Diceros bicornis minor: one gene and its partner. The protein of the gene in region 1 interacts with the protein of each later gene in a biochemical or structural test. Links are inferred from orthologs where the notes say so. Each region holds a gene or a part of one and is shown on either strand. Other genes may lie near its edges. The genes, in order: SLC9A1 and TESC.

Region 1 (7,215 bases):
GAAAAAAGGGAGCAGAGTAAGGGGCTGGGACTGGGTGGTATACTTGGTGGTCGGGCAGGAGAAGTGTCACTATTAGTTAGAGTTACCATGTAGTAGCGTCAAGAAGGGAGATGTGTGGAAAGGCTTGAAAGATGTGAGGGAGCGAGCCAAGTGGATATCCAGGGAAGAGTGTTCCAGGTAGAAGGAACAGCAAGTGCTAAGGCGCTGAGGCAGAAGTGTGGCTGGCAGTATTTGAGAAATAGCACAGAGGCAATGTGGTTGGAGTGGAGTGAGTGAAGGGGAGATTGGAAGAAGAAGGCATTGCAGGGCTGTGATTTTCTACAACAAAGGAAAGAAAGAAATGAACTCAGTTACTGAGTGCCAACTATGTGCCAGGAACTGGGCTTGACATACAGCGGCATTTAATCCTTGCAATAACCTTACAAGGAAGGTATTATGACCCCACCTACCTTTTATACACATGAACAAACTGAGTGACAGAAACAAAAAGTGACTCGCCCATGATGTACAGCTAGTAAGTGGCCCAGCAGATCCTTTCCTCATACGACACATTATTTGCCATGTATCTGTTGGTGTCATAGCCATAGCAATTCCGTAAAATTCTCATCACTTTCAGTGAAAGGATGCAATGAGAGGATGGGGAGCAGACACAGTCTAAGCAGGGGGAGATGCCGCCCACGGCCCAGGCATCCTGAGACTGTCCAAGATCTTCAGGAAGAAGGGTCTGCAGAGAGTGGCCTCTCTGAGTCAAGAGCAGCGTGGGCCTGGAATAATTAAAAAATGAGTGGTGCCGGCCTGGTGGGGTAGTGGTTAAGTGCGTGCACTGCACTTGGCGACGCAGGGTTTTGCAGGTTCGGATCCTGGGCGCACACCGACGCACCGCTTGTCAAGCTATGCTGTGGTGGCGTCGCACATAAAGCAGAGAAAGATGGGCACAGATGTTAGCCCAGGGTCAATCTTCCTCAGCAGAAAGATGAGGATTTCCATCGGATGTTAGCTCAGAGCTAATCTTCCTCACACACACACAAAAAAAAGTGAGGACTTGCTAAAACAGGGTTACAAATATTGCATTATATTTTAACTGTTTACCTTTAACAAGACCATGCTTTTAACATGCAAATACACAGCAGTATAATTTATCTAAAATTATTAAATTTATATCATGCTGTAAGTGGTATGGTTTGAATATGGGACCAATTTCACAGACCTAAGAGTCTTGCTTCTAGCCTATCAATGTGTCTCTGTAACTGAATGCCTAATTTCACGTGACCCTCACATCAAAAGTCTACATTTGAGGCCCTTGGTACATGTAAATAAAGATAATGAGAGTAAATATATGTGGTACATTGCTGAGTGCTGCTCCAAGGGCTGTATGTACATTGGCTAATATCCTCATAACAGCCCCATGAGATTGGTACTATTATTGCCCACACGTTACGGAGGAAGGAACTGTGGAACAAGGAGGTTGATTGATTTACTCAAGGTCTTATAACTAGTGAGTGGTGTTGCTGAATCTGAACCTAGACAATCTGGCTATCCACGGTAGGCAACCCCTGTGCTTAACTCTTATGCTATACTGCCTGGGCTGGGCCTTGGCCATGGGCTGTCCCAGGTGGTTTCCCTCAGGGCTCTTTCTTGGTACTTTCATGTTGTTATAACCTTCTCCAGGCTGTAGAGGATCTCAGGGCTGGCATTTCCTGGCCCTCTGGGGTTCTGCTACCTCCCAGGCTGGCACCCAAGGACTCACTGAGGCCTGGAATGAGGGAGAGTCAGAGAGTATGGAGGATCAGTGTGCACCAGTGAACGTTGCCCTTGAGACTGGAAAGGACTATAGGTCTGAGGATTCTGGCCCTGTGTCACCTGTGGAAAGTCCCTCCACCAGCCTCATCCTTTCTCTGTCTTCTTTTTTCTACACTGAACCTGTGGTGTTTTGGATATTAGAAAGCTGACTTGAGTCCTGGATCTCCTACTAATAGCTGGGTGACCTTGGCCAAATGGCTTCATGTCTCTGAGTCTTAGTTTTTTCATCTGTAAAATGGAAATAAGAATAGTAGCTACTATTTATTGAGGCCCACTATGCACAAGGACTCAGATGGTCGATAAACCTGGGCACTTGGTTGTGAACTATACAGGACTGAACCATTGTGAGACATTATTGTCATATTCTGATCCTTGCTCTAAATGCTGTTATTCTCTGATTATTTCCATTATAGCTGATGTTCTCCTTTCATTTGCTCCCAGGTGACACAGGCCCTTGGCCTTCTCTGAAGTCTCTTCTAGGCTCTTCCATCATCTCCCAAGTGGCTGGACCTGTGCCAGGAGAATGTGAGAGACAGAGAATTCAGTTTAGTGTTGGCACCTTCAGTCACTGTCACATCACTGTATCATCATTTTATTTATTTATTTATTTTTATAATTTTATTTATTTATTTTTTTCCCCCAAAGCCCCAGTAGATAGTTGTATGTCATAGCTGCACATCCTTCTAGTTGCTGTATGTGGGACGCGGCCTCAGCATGGCTGGAGAAGTGGTGTGTCGGTGCACGCCCGGGATCCGAACCCCCGGCTGCCAGCAGCGGAGCGTGTGCACTTAACCGCTAAGCCACAGGGCCGGCCCATATTATCATTTTAATATAGCTTTTTGTGGAAGAATGGCATTTCTCAAGAAACTTGCCCAAATTATGAGTGCTCGATGAGTTATCACAAAACAACTGTATCTGTGTAACATTTGTAACCACCACCCGGTAAAGAAATAGAACATTATCAGCACCCTAAAACCTCTTGTTGCGCCCCCTTTCTGCCCCCTCCAATCACTCCCACCTCTTTCTTCCTCATGTCTTATTTCTGTGTTGCTAGAGCCCAGCACAAAACCCTGACAAGAGGCCCAGTAAATATTTGCTAAATTGAACTGAACTCTTTTGAAATCATTTTGTGATCTCGAGCTAGTCACTTTGACTTTCTTGGCCTTGATTTACTATTCTGCAAAACAGGGATGTAATGTCAATAGTTGTCAGCCCTAGTTGTACATTAGAATCACCTGGAGGAACTTTTGAAAAAATATCCATCATGCTTGGGCACTATCCTAGAGCAACTGAATCCAAATCTCTGAAGGAGTGTCCCAAGCAATGGTAGTTTTTAAAAGTTTTCCAATGATTCCAGTACACAGCCGTGACCTCTTGAATCTTACCGATTCCAACCAACACTGTATGTTCAAATCTCAGTTCCACTACTGCTAGGGGATGAATTGTGTCCTCTCAAAAGATGTTGAAGTTCTAACCCCCAGTACATGTGAATATAGTCTTATTTGGAAATAGAGTTACTGAAGATGATCAAATTCAGATGAGGTTATTCATGTGGGCCCCTAGTCCGGTCTGACTGGTACCTTGTAAAAAAGGGGAAATTTGGACCCAGAGACAGAGACACAGGGAGATCACCTTGTGAAGTTTGGAGTTGTGCTGCCGCAATCACGGAACACCCAAGATTGTCCACAAACCACCAGGAGCTAGGAGAGAGGCATGGAACAGATTTTCCCTCACAGCTCTCCAAAGGAATTAACTCTGCCAACTCCTTGATTTCAGACCTCTAGCCTCCAGAATACGAGACAATAAATTTCTGTTCTTTAAGCCACCCAGTGTGTGGTACTTTGTTACAGCAGCCCTAGCAAACAGACACAACTATTTACGTAGTAGCTAAGGAACTCTCTTCAGCTGTTTCCTCATCTGCAAAACTGGAACCATAATAGTGGTTCTCTGTGCCAGGCTCCATTCTAAACACCTTACATAGATTATCTCATTTAGTCATCACAGTATCCCTCTGATATAGGTACTCCTAGTATCTCCACTTTATAGATGAGAAAGCTATGGAACAGAGAGGTTAAGTAACTTGCTCAAGGTCACATGTTAACTAAACACATAAAATAATAATACATCCTTCACAAGATTATTGGGACGCCTTCATGAGATTGTGGATGTGGACGTGAAAACATTTTACCCATGTTCGAATCTCTGTAGATTCGGGACTTTTGCCGTCTCTGACTCTCCTTCCTCTGTCTATGCGATACTTCCTCCCCTGGGCGACAGGGGTCGCTGCGCTGCGCGGGCTCTGACAGATCCTTCTAGCCCGCTGCGCTGGCTGCTCGCTGGTGCCTATAAGTAACAGCGCCGGGCTCAGCGAGGCATCAGTCTGCCGCCACCGGGGCTGGGGCCGGGGTCAGGTCTAGATCTGGAGCTGGTCGCGGAGGAACTGAAGCTGGGCCGGGGCGGAGCGGAGCGCCGCGCCGGGGCCGCAAGGAGGGGCGTGTTGTTGCTGGCCCACCGCGAGCCGCCCCCAGCCCGCGCCGAGGCGCCCTCCCGCCAGGCCGCCTGCCTCCGCCTTCCACCTCCCTCCGTTTCCCCGGAATCTCAGCCCGGCGCGCCTGCATCCCGGCCGTTCTCTGGGTGGGGAAGCTCCCGGCCGCTTTCCAGCTTCACTCCTTCCTCGCAGCCTGGGCTCCCAGCCCCCTCTTTTCTTTTCCTGGACAGGGTCCCACCCTCTTCGGTCCCCTTCCTTTAGCTCAGGCTCCCTGCCCCTTCCCTTAAGCCGAGTCAGCTCCTCAAGTCACTTTCCTCGGCCGAGGGTCCCAGCCTTCCCTCTTCCTTTTCCTTGCTTGGGGTTCAACCTATCCTGTCCCTTCCTCTGACCCAAGGTGCAGTCCCTTCCCCACTCCTGCTTTCTCAGGCTTCCAGACCTTTTGGTCTCCTTTTCTGGTCCTTCCTGGGTCCTTGTCCCTTTTCCCCATTTTGGAGTTCTACATCGTGAACCCAGCCTCCCTCCACCTGCAGAGGACTCCTTCCACAAAAATTCCTTTCTAAAACATGAACTTTTCCTAGAGACTACTGCAGTCTCTCTTCCCACCTGCTGACCCCTTGCAACCTATGTCCCAGGTCTTACTCTCACTTTGCTAAGGGTCAAGGCCTACTGGGCGGAGGGAGCAACACAATGCTTCTGTGGTCTGGCATCCCTGGCCTCTCTCCTCCCCGAATCTTCCCTTCGTTGTTCGTGTTGGTAGCCTTGGTGGGGCTGCTACCTGTCCTCAGGAGTCATGGCCTGCAGCCCAGCCCTACTGCCAGCACCATCCGTGGCTCAGAGCCACCACGGGAACGCTCCATTGGGGATGTCACCACCGCCCCACCAGAGCTCACCCCTGAGAGTCGCCCTGTTAACCATTCCGTCACTGAACATAGCATGAAGACTCGAAAGGCCTTTCCAGTCCTGGGCATCGACTACTCACACGTGCGTACACCCTTCGAGATCTCCCTCTGGATCCTGCTGGCCTGCCTCATGAAGATAGGTAAGTCCAGTTTGCTCCACTGCTTCCTCTGCCACCAAATTGTTGAGCTTCTTGCCTCCTCCTTACCACTTGAGGCTGCTCAGGAATAAGGATCTGGACTACCCGTGTAACGTCGGCAACCTCCATTCTGCCATCTTGGTTCTCTTCAAACTCTATCTCTGTGACTTCTATGGTCTGAGGTCCCCCCAAGATTAGAGCCAGCATTGTGCATGGGAGAAAACAGGGTTAGAGCATGGGATGCTTCTGATACGAGATACCTTCAGCAAGGCTTCCAGGCCTGGCAAGTCTCCTTTGGTTGGGCCAGACCCCGAGGGGAGCCAGGCACCAGCTGTGTGTGAGACAGAGAAGAGTGTCTTCCAGCAAGCGGCACAGTCTGCTCTGTCAGCTGCAACCAGTGCATTTCCATGCTTCGTGGGAGAGTGTCCCAGGAGGGAGTGTATTTCTACTTGGCCTGGCTAAGGAGTTTGAGTATAGTGGGGGACCTGTGTGATGGAGACCTAGAAGTGTGGTGGAACATGAGGGATCCCCATATTCTCACCTTCTTTGTCCCCAGAGTGTTATCTGTCAGTTTTGCCTGCCCAGGCTAGTCGGGAGCCCCTGAGTCAGTTTCCGGCCCAGGAATACCATCCCATATACAATTTATGGGACAGGGGGCCCTGGAAATTTCTGAAGTCTGTTTGCGGGTGGAGAGGGAGTGGAGGAAGTTGAAGTGTAGTCTAGCCCCAGCTCACCTCTGGGTTGGCACCCGACTGTGTCTCAAGGTGCTGTCTGGGCTGGCCACTCACGTTGGCCTGCCATTCAGCCAAGTGGGAGATGGACAGGTGGAGGGGCTCAGGATGTTCTGGTCTGAAGAGACTTTGAAATGTTCTTTTTGGGAGAAGGAAACAGAAAAGTCATTCTCTTCCAGAAGGTTGGTCTCCCTGCTAGGCCTGACTACTTTTCTGCAGGGTGATTGATGGAGCTCCCCTGAGTCTGCATAGCCCAGAAGTCCCTGGAAGTGTGTCCAGGGGGGCTTTGAAAGCTGCCTTAGCTTTTTTTACCCCTGGTTTGATGTGGAAGGCATGAGGGCCTGAGACTCTGCTGGTTTGGATTTGGGGAGTTTGTGACTCCTGGCAGGAAGCCTTGTAGCTTGCCCAAGGACATGCAGGAGCTGGCAATGCCAGGCTGGTGTGAGGCAGGCTCTGGGACATGCTGCAGGAGTCCACTCTGTTTTGACAGATCCAGAAGCTGGCTTCCTGGTGCGGGGCTTTAGTGCTGTGACAGTAGCAGGGCCTGTACATGGAACTGGGCCATCAGTACCTATACCCTGATGGCAGCCAGCTTCCTGGAAAAAATCAGGGACTGGGCAAGGGAGCCATGTGTACTGATTCTGACAAATACATGACCTTGAACAAGCTGGGGCCTTTTCCTGAAGGTCTCGTGCACCAGTGAAACTGGCAAGACTCTCTAAATTTGACCATTTCAATTGAGTCATGAAACTTGTATCTTAATTTGTTGTAAGAAACTGAAGTGACTGTGATGTGTCATTTGCCTGTGTGAGACCAGGAGGAGACCTCACAAGCACTGTCTATGGTTTGCTGTCCTCTCTCCAACCACATCTGGCGTTGTGTTAGGGTCTTGGGGCTGGTACCCACACTGCAGGTCTCAGTGCCTCCTGGTGGGATGACAGCATGACCAAAAAGTTCCTACTCTGGGCAGTCAGGAGTTTGTCCCTGCAGGCCTGATATCTCTAGTTCTAACGGGGTCAGACTTGGCCTGCTTTGTCTGTACCAGAACCTGTGCCAGGGACCCTGGGCAGCTGGAGAACAGGGATGGTGCCATGGCAAGGGTACCAGTCTGGAAGTTAGGAAGCTCCCACCTCCCTCTATGACCTTGGGGCAGTCATGTG
Region 2 (7,919 bases), on another chromosome or scaffold:
GGGGAGCCTAGCAACCCTGTGGGCACAGCCTGCTCTCTGGCTGCCCTGGCCCTAGGCTCTTCCCCCATCTCAGGGATGCTTCCCAAGGGTTCTGCCCAGCCCTCAGGATCCTGGGAGCCGATGTTCCCATGCCAAGCCGAGTACTTCACAAATAGATACATACATACATCATCTTATTGATGGGGGCACCGATGCTCAGAGAGGTCGAGACTTGCTTACGCTCATGAAGCTGGTAAGAGTGACACAAAGTTTTAACTCTTAGCTGTGGCTTAGAGTGACCAGGCCATACAAATGTGTTTAAAGCATGACCAATAATACTCAACACTTTACATACATTCTCTCATTTACTCCTTCCCAACAATTGGGAGGAAGGTATGGCTACTATCCCCATTTTACAGTGGATGAAATTGGGGCACACAGAGCACAAATGACTTGCCCAAGTCCACGTACCTAACAAGACCCCTTAAATCGGGGTCCTGCCACTACCTGAGCCCTGATTATGGCTGTGTCCTCATCACATACAATTCTCATTTGTTGTCCTCAACTCCTTCCTGCCCAGGGCCTTTGCACGTGTTGTGCCCTCTGCCCGAAATGCACTTTCCACTGATTTTCACGTAGCTGTCTCCTTATTTGGATTTCTGCTCCATTATCACCTCCTCAGAGAGGCCCCCCTGGTCCACCCTAAAGACATGTTTCACCATCTCTCCCCCAACTCTCCTGCCACTGTATTGTATCTTGTTCACAGAGCTTGACACCTATGGGGTGATTTGTTTATGCCGTGTGCCTGCCCTCAGGAACATCAGCCTCTCTGGGTCACCTCTAAATCCCCAGCTCCTGGTCGATAAACACTTGCTGAATGGGTAAAAGTGTCCAGACTGTGCCACCCTTTCAGAAGACTACGGGGCACCTTCTACCTACTTAGAATTCAGAGGACTGAAGGTGTTCATCTCCCACAGCCTGACCTCAGAAGCCCTTCCCTGACCCCTGCAGTCTCCCTTCCCTCTTTAGGGTGTGAAATTTGAGTTCTGGGCAGCAAAAAGGGAAGCCACATCAGCCCCTTCTAGGAAAGCTACGGAGCAGGAACGCTCAGTATCTGCCTTCCCCGCGGAGACCGGACCCAGGAAACTGACAAGATTCCCAGCATGCTCTGCGCCTCATCACCTGTCAAACCCACAATGGGGTGGAATTCCCCCTACTGCCTGCTGTGGGCGCTGCCTGAGAGATGGGGCTGGTGGCCAGCCGCCCCTTCCTGGCAGATCCCAGCTGCAGAGAACCCCCGCCTCCACCCTGCAGATACCAGGCAGCCAGAGGACACTCAGGAAATAACAAAAGCAGGGGAAACCCAAGAAAGCCCAGGAAAGAGAAATCCTACCTCCTGGCTCACATTAAACCTTGGGGTCGCATCGGACTTGAGGAAACTTTTTGAAGAAGTAAAATATTCACACATGGTTCACAACGAAAACATTACAAAGTTCACAGTGAAAAGCTCACTCTCCCTTCATCCCCTCCACCAAATCCCCCAATAAGTATTCATTATTCCTACTTTCTTGTGGCTCCTTCCAGAGTCCTTGATGCCAATAAAGCAGTTCCCAATATATACTCTTAACTCCTTTTTTTAAACAAAAAGGGTTCCATATTTATATACTGCACCACACCCTTTTTTCTCCAGTTGCAGAGTTTTATATCTGTACCTAGAAAGATACACATATACGTATGTGTATGTATACACACACACACACACACACACCAGTTATTAACGGCTTTCTGTAATTTTCACCCAATTCTCCTGGAAAGAGGTGTTTAGATTGGGGGTCAGGAGGGGTCGTCTTTCAGCCCACACACACAGGCTGGGCCACCCCTCCGGTGATCAACTACGGACGCTGGCTGTCTGCACTACACTCAGAGCAGGCGCCGGGAGCCAGCTCCCTCCTGGACACAGTGTCTGCAGCTCCCATTTCTTGAGCATCTCCCAGGTACGAGCAGAACTCCCCTTCCAGAGAGAAGGAAACCGAGGCTCAGAGAGGCAGAGTGACTAGCCCAAGGTGACACCGTCAGGAAGCGGTGCCGGCAGGGCTCACACCCGGTCTGTCCACCACCAAAGCCAGTCAAGCGCGCAGCCCGGCTGGACTCGGGCGGACGGGCGCTTCCGCTGTCACTGGCCTGCGGTCGGCTGGCGCGGAGGTCCGGCCTCCCCGTGCGCCCCGCCCCGGGGCGCGCAGCCTCCGCCGGGGCCGGAGACCCGGGAGCTGGAGGAACGTCGCGGGCGCTGCCTCGCTTAAACCTCCCAGCCAGCCGGGGCGAGGCGGGCGCCTGAACCCATTTTACAGACGGAGGACGAAGGGAGGCGCAGAGAGCCCGGCTCACCTGCCTAACGTCACACGGCCGGGAGCGCCAGAGCCCGGCTCCCACGCGGGTCCCGCCGACTTCAGAACTTCCCGCCCCCTGCGCACCGTGGAGCCAAACGACTCTCAGGTGCGGGGCGCGCACCAGCGCGCATCCACGGACGCCCGCTCTCCCGGGCCGGGGCGCCCGCCCTGCGCTGGGGGAGCCCGGCCCCGCTCCCTCTCCGGCCCGCAGTCCCCAGGCCCGGGGCTTCCCAGCCAACTCCGAGAGCACCGAAGCTGAGCGGCGCGGCACTTACTCAGCGTCGCCGCGGGGCTCCTGGCCGCAGCCTGCCAAGCGGCCGGCGGGGACCCATTTGAAGGAGGGGGAGACTGAGGCGCAGAGAGGGCCAGCCACTCGCCCAAGGTCACACAGCGCGGCGGCGGCGGGCTGGGAGCCCCCGGGCCAGCCAGCCGGCCGGCGGTCCCCGCTCCGGTCCCCGCGCCCGTGCCCCGCGGGGTACTCACAGCCGGTCTTGCCCACGAGCTCCCGCACCTCCTCGGACGCGGAGTGGGCAGCGCCCATGGTGTCCGCAGCGGGGGCCCGGGGGCGCGCGTCCCTCGCAGGCGCCGGGCTGGCGTCGCCTGCGCAGCGGCCGGTCCGCCCTCGGGTCCAGCGCGGGCCGGGACGCGGGCACCGGTCTCAGCCGCGGTTCCGCGTGGGGCCCCAGCGCGGCCTCTTATAGCGGCGGCGGGCGGCGCGCCGCGGTCCTAGCGCGCGCCGGCTTCGCGCACTGCGGGCAGGGGGAGCGGCCCGCGCGGGGCCGGAAACGGCGGGGAGGGGGACCCAGCAGCCCACCGCCAAGGTTCCTCGCTCCCCAAAGCAGCGGCCGTGCTCGTCGCGCCTCGCCGTTCCGCACCCTTGCCGGCTCTGGAGAGAAGCAGGTGTGAGCAGAGTTGGGGTGCAGGTAGGAGGGCTCCGGCAAAGTGAGAGCCCGGGAGGTTTCCCTGCCCACCCCCACCCCGGTTCCAGCACACATCCTCCCAGACCTCAGGAGCGAAACTCCCCTGGGACAGTGAAGGAAGACGGGAGCATTAATTCGTTCTGTGCTGAACAGCAATCAAGGGAATATAAAAATAGGACTCCAACTTGAATGCGCGTTGGGGGCTCGTTCCACCAAGTCCCCTCCGCCTCCCCAGCACCCTGCTGAAGTGGACACACCCACGTGCCAGACCGGCCCATCCTGGCGGCCCAGCCCAGGAGCTCGGGGTGGCGGTGTTGTCAAATTTTAGGAGCAGGGAGGTCCGCCCCCCCGATTCTGACTCAGGCGGGGACCCCCGGGGCGGGGGGGGGGGGGTTGCATTTCAGCCAAACTGCCCAAGAGCTTCGATGCAGGTGGACCTCGAGCCTACTGGGCGAAGTTCTGCGTTAAGATTCCTCGGGTTCAGTAGCCAGGCTGGGTGGCCAGCGCCAGTCCGGCCACCTGTCTGACTATGATTCCTTCTCCTAAAATGGGGATAATATAGTTAATGAGATGTCTATGAGAAGGGCCTGCCATGGGACACAGCACAAAGTCGTCTCTGTGGAGTCATGTCCACTTCACAAGGGAGGACTGATTCTCAGGGAGGTCACACAGGGCAGAAATTCGGAGTCCACACTTTCTGGTTCTCAAGGCCAGGCCTTCGGGCTCCATCGTGCTTGGTGACTTGGCCATCAATGATCGGCATGCATACAGTGTCTGTCCTGGGCGCCAGGCTCTGATAGGGCTGGGGTGCGGGCGCGGGTCCTTCGGGGCTCCCAGGTGGAGACTTGGATGGGCCCACCCACATCAGCTTCCCAGGGCACTGGGGAGGAGGTGTCCATACCTGTAGACCACAGGCCCAAGCAGAGGGTCACAGCCCTTTCCCGGGCAGGGTGCCTTTCAGAGCCACCAGGGGGCTCCTGAAACCTGCCAGAGCAGCGGTATCTGCCTGTTCCCCTCTGGTGGCATTCACAGAGCTGGGCAGCACCTGGAAGCTGCATTATAAAAACTCCCTTGGGCGGAGCTGAGGCCTAGTCAGGCTGGGGAAATGTTGGCTGTGGGGCATCGGCTGGTCTGAGTGAACCGGAAAGCTGACCCAGAGACTGCCTTTCGGGTCAGGATTCTAGAAACCCAGACTGGCCTCTGGGGTCAGGAAAGGGGTCCCCTTGGGAGATGTGGGCCCCTGAGCCAGCCCACTACCCACAACTGCTGGGAATGATTTTATTCTGGCTTACAATATCGGTTCCCGGAATTGTATTATATTAAATGATCCCAGGATTAAATGATGGGGCTTTCTGCTGGGGAGACAGAAAATGGTGCTCTCCTGACTGTGTCTCCTCCCCCTTGGCATGGTGGCTCCCAGAGCTAGAGGCAGGGCAGGTAGGTGGGGAGGAAGACCTGCGACAGTGCTCTGGGGCAGGGAGGGGGCACATGGCTTCACTCTGCCGCTCGGGGGATCACGGAGAGGCCCCCAGTGTGTGGGGTGAAGGGAGCCCGTCTTTACTTCATCACCTGTCTACACCGTCAACCTTGTCTCCCCACTGGCCGCCCTCAGCTCCTAGATGAACACATACACTTGTTCGTTCGGCCTGGAGCTCCCTCCCCTCCCCCTTCCCCAGGCCGGGCTTCCTCTTCAGATCGCAGCGTGATCACCTCCTCCCAGAGGCCTCCGCAGGGCCCCCATCCGCTCTCCTGGGTCTCCTGCCAAACAAGCCGCCTTCGCCAGCCTGCGGGGAGCTGAAAGAGAGGAAGCCTGGGGTGTTCTGACCACGGAGAATTTTTTTCCTCATTGCAGGGCTTGGAGAAATAATCAGGAACACCTTGTGGCAGCAGGAAAGTGGGGACAACAAGGCACAATTTGGGGGTTTGCGCGTTCATTTATTCATTGCACATATATTGAGGCCCTGCTGTGTTTAGAGCCCTGGCTGGTCCTGGAGCCACAACCGGGGATAACCAGCAGCCACACTTTCACTCCTAAGAACTCTTGAAGGAGTGCGGAGACAGAGACACAGGAGGTGACAAGGCAGGGGTAAACACGGGCTGACTTGGGCTCTCGCAGGGCCGCGGAGATCTGGAGTGTTCGAGCCAGAATGGCCCCTGGAGAGAGTCTGCTATCCCTTAAGCTGAGCTTCGGGGAGTCCATGATTGTCCCCAACTGTGGTCCCAAAGCCACACACCAAAGGCAAATACTGGGTGGAGAGACGAATCTGTGAGATTTGGGGGCCCCGCAGTGGCACCCACCCTCCTCTACCTGGGCGTTGCCCCCTCCTCTGGCAATGATGCACAGACGCCGCAGGGCTCCGTCCACACAAAGCCTGCTGCCGCCAGTTCCAGGACATCACGGCATTAATTCAATCCTCCCAGTGGCTCTGTCGGCGTCAGAGCACGAAGGAGGTCTGGCGCTCTGCATGGGGTCTGGCCCGGCTGATTGGATCTGTTGTCTGGAGCCATGGCACAGAGGCACCCCGTGTGGTGATCTTTATCCTCCCATCACACAGCGTGACCTTCTGAGGGCTGGCAAACACTTCAGTCACCAGGCTGAAGTGTTCTCCTTCTCCTGGAGGAGCTGATTAAAAACAGTGGCCGCAATTAGAAGGGCTGGTACCTGTGAGGCCCGGAAGGGCAGCTGAGCCCAGAGATGGAGAGGATGGTCCTCATTCGGCTCTCCCACATTCCTGTCTGGGAAGAAGACTCCCGAACCAAACTTGGGCAAGTGACTTCACCTCCCTGGGCCTCAGTTTCCCCATCTGTAAAATGGCAATAATAATGCTGCCTTCCTCAGGGTGCTTATGGGGGTGAAATGTGGATATTTGTAAAGTGCTTCAAACAGCGTGTAGGTAGCCAGGCTCTGAAAGGGAGAGAGGAAGCCCTGATGTGTAGCGTTTGCCAATTTCCGTGGTGTAAATACTCCCACTGTGGTCAATTTCAAGCTACCAATAATTTAATAGCTGGCTTGCAAAACTCCTGAATGTTTAACAATTCGCTCTTGCAAGCTGGTCCGAGACAAGTCAGCACACCACTACACAGTAGACTGTTATTATTATTCATATGTTCCTTCATTCATTCATGTACTCACTATTGAGGGCCAGAAATTGGGACACTACAGTGAAGGAGTCAGTCTCTACCCTCAGGGATCCCAGAGTCTGGAAGGACAGAGAGAAGCAGACCATCACTAATGGGTAGTACACTAATGGATACTGGATGCTGTGGGATCCTGGAGGAGAGGCACGCGACACAGGTACATTTCATTGATGGGAAAACCAAGGTGCTCAGAATGGGCGGTAAACCAGAATCAGAGAGCAGATAGGAAGTTGTGTAATGGCAGTTCCTGTAATGTACCCGTCTCACTCTCCTGTCCCTCTGATCACTTAGCTTGGGGGTACCCCCAAGGCTTGGCAATGTTCTGGGAGCAACAAGACACTTTTCTTAATCTTTGGGCCACTGACCCCAAGAAATTTATGGGGAATCCAAGTGCCATCTCCGTTGGCCTCTGACTTAGAGAAGACCACACCTAAACCACTTCAAACAAGTAAGGATTAGTGATGCTTTTGTAAAATGTATCTGGGCATGGCGGGGGTGGTGGTTGGATGGGGAGACCCGCAGGTGCCTTATGCCAGCGTCTTGGCTCTGACACACACAGTTTTAAGCTCATTCAGCCTCCTTCTGCTGGTTTCATATGTCTTGGTCTCTTGGTTTTAATGTCAATGGAATCAGAGATGAATCATCCCCGGGTTGTACTTTGAATTAAAGTTGTCCTTTGCGTCATTTTTTAAACAATCCTTTTTCACCCAAGGCACCCCGATCTTTTAAGCTAACCTTGGGCAACAGCATGCTGTAGGAGATAGATTCAGATCTGAGTTGGATCCCTGCTCTGCCATTCCTGGTGTGTGCCCTTGCGTTCGTTCCTTTGCCACTCTGAACTGTGGTGTCCTCATCTGTATAATAGGTCCACAATCCCACCTTTATCAAGAGGATTCAGCCAGGGTGAAACGGCTGGAATGCAGCACACCCTCCACAACTGTTCATTCCCTCCCTTGGGGGCAAATATCCAGGACTGTATAGCCCGCCTCGCTCTCCTCTTTCTGTTAGCCCTGCATTCCTCTCTTCCCCACGATTCTTAGGGAGACAAATGAACAGAATTCACACTTGAACCTCTGTCCAGCCCCCACTTCTTATTAAATCATTTCCGGTCTTGGGAAAGAATAGTTGTTTCTTCTCTTCGTTTTCTGAGAGGTTTCAACTCACCCCTGAGTTGGAAAATCGTGTCCTCTCGACTGCCTGGGATGAGGGTCCTTCTGGGTGTCCAGCTTCCCAGACCCTTCAGCTCCCAGTGAAGTGCCTCCTGCCCTCCCAGGCTGCCCTGCGCCAGCATCTACGTCACAGCCCAGACCGCAGAAGGATGCAGCTCCACGGGAGGGAGGGCTGACCGGCTAAAAATAGGAGCTGGGGGCTCTTTGGGGAAGGCGACTCGAGCATGTTTTTCTATTATTTATATAATTACAAATAGTGACCTATTACTGGAACTTGCAGGGGGCAGATGGAAGCTTGTCCCTGGATGGGCTTCAAACTCTGCCTT

The links.
Region 2: the proteins of SLC9A1 (region 1) and TESC form a complex in vitro, tested with the Homo sapiens proteins (4 studies listed by BioGRID and IntAct, with this or other methods). The link is inferred for Diceros bicornis minor from reciprocal best matches to the Homo sapiens genes SLC9A1 and TESC.

The regions. Positions count from the first base shown.
Region 1 is NC_080752.1:42,843,782-42,850,996, reverse strand, and holds the start of SLC9A1 (sodium/hydrogen exchanger 1), read left to right. Parts: upstream 1-4,183; 5' UTR 4,184-4,975; coding exon 4,976-5,327; intron 5,328-7,215. UniProt on the Homo sapiens protein: Electroneutral Na(+) /H(+) antiporter that extrudes Na(+) in exchange for external protons driven by the inward sodium ion chemical gradient, protecting cells from acidification that occurs from metabolism.
Region 2 is NC_080774.1:14,319,036-14,326,954, forward strand, and holds the start of TESC (calcineurin B homologous protein 3), read right to left. Parts: upstream 3,011-7,919; 5' UTR 2,908-3,010; coding exon 2,850-2,907; intron 1-2,849. UniProt on the Homo sapiens protein: Functions as an integral cofactor in cell pH regulation by controlling plasma membrane-type Na(+)/H(+) exchange activity. Promotes the maturation, transport, cell surface stability and exchange activity of SLC9A1/NHE1 at the plasma membrane.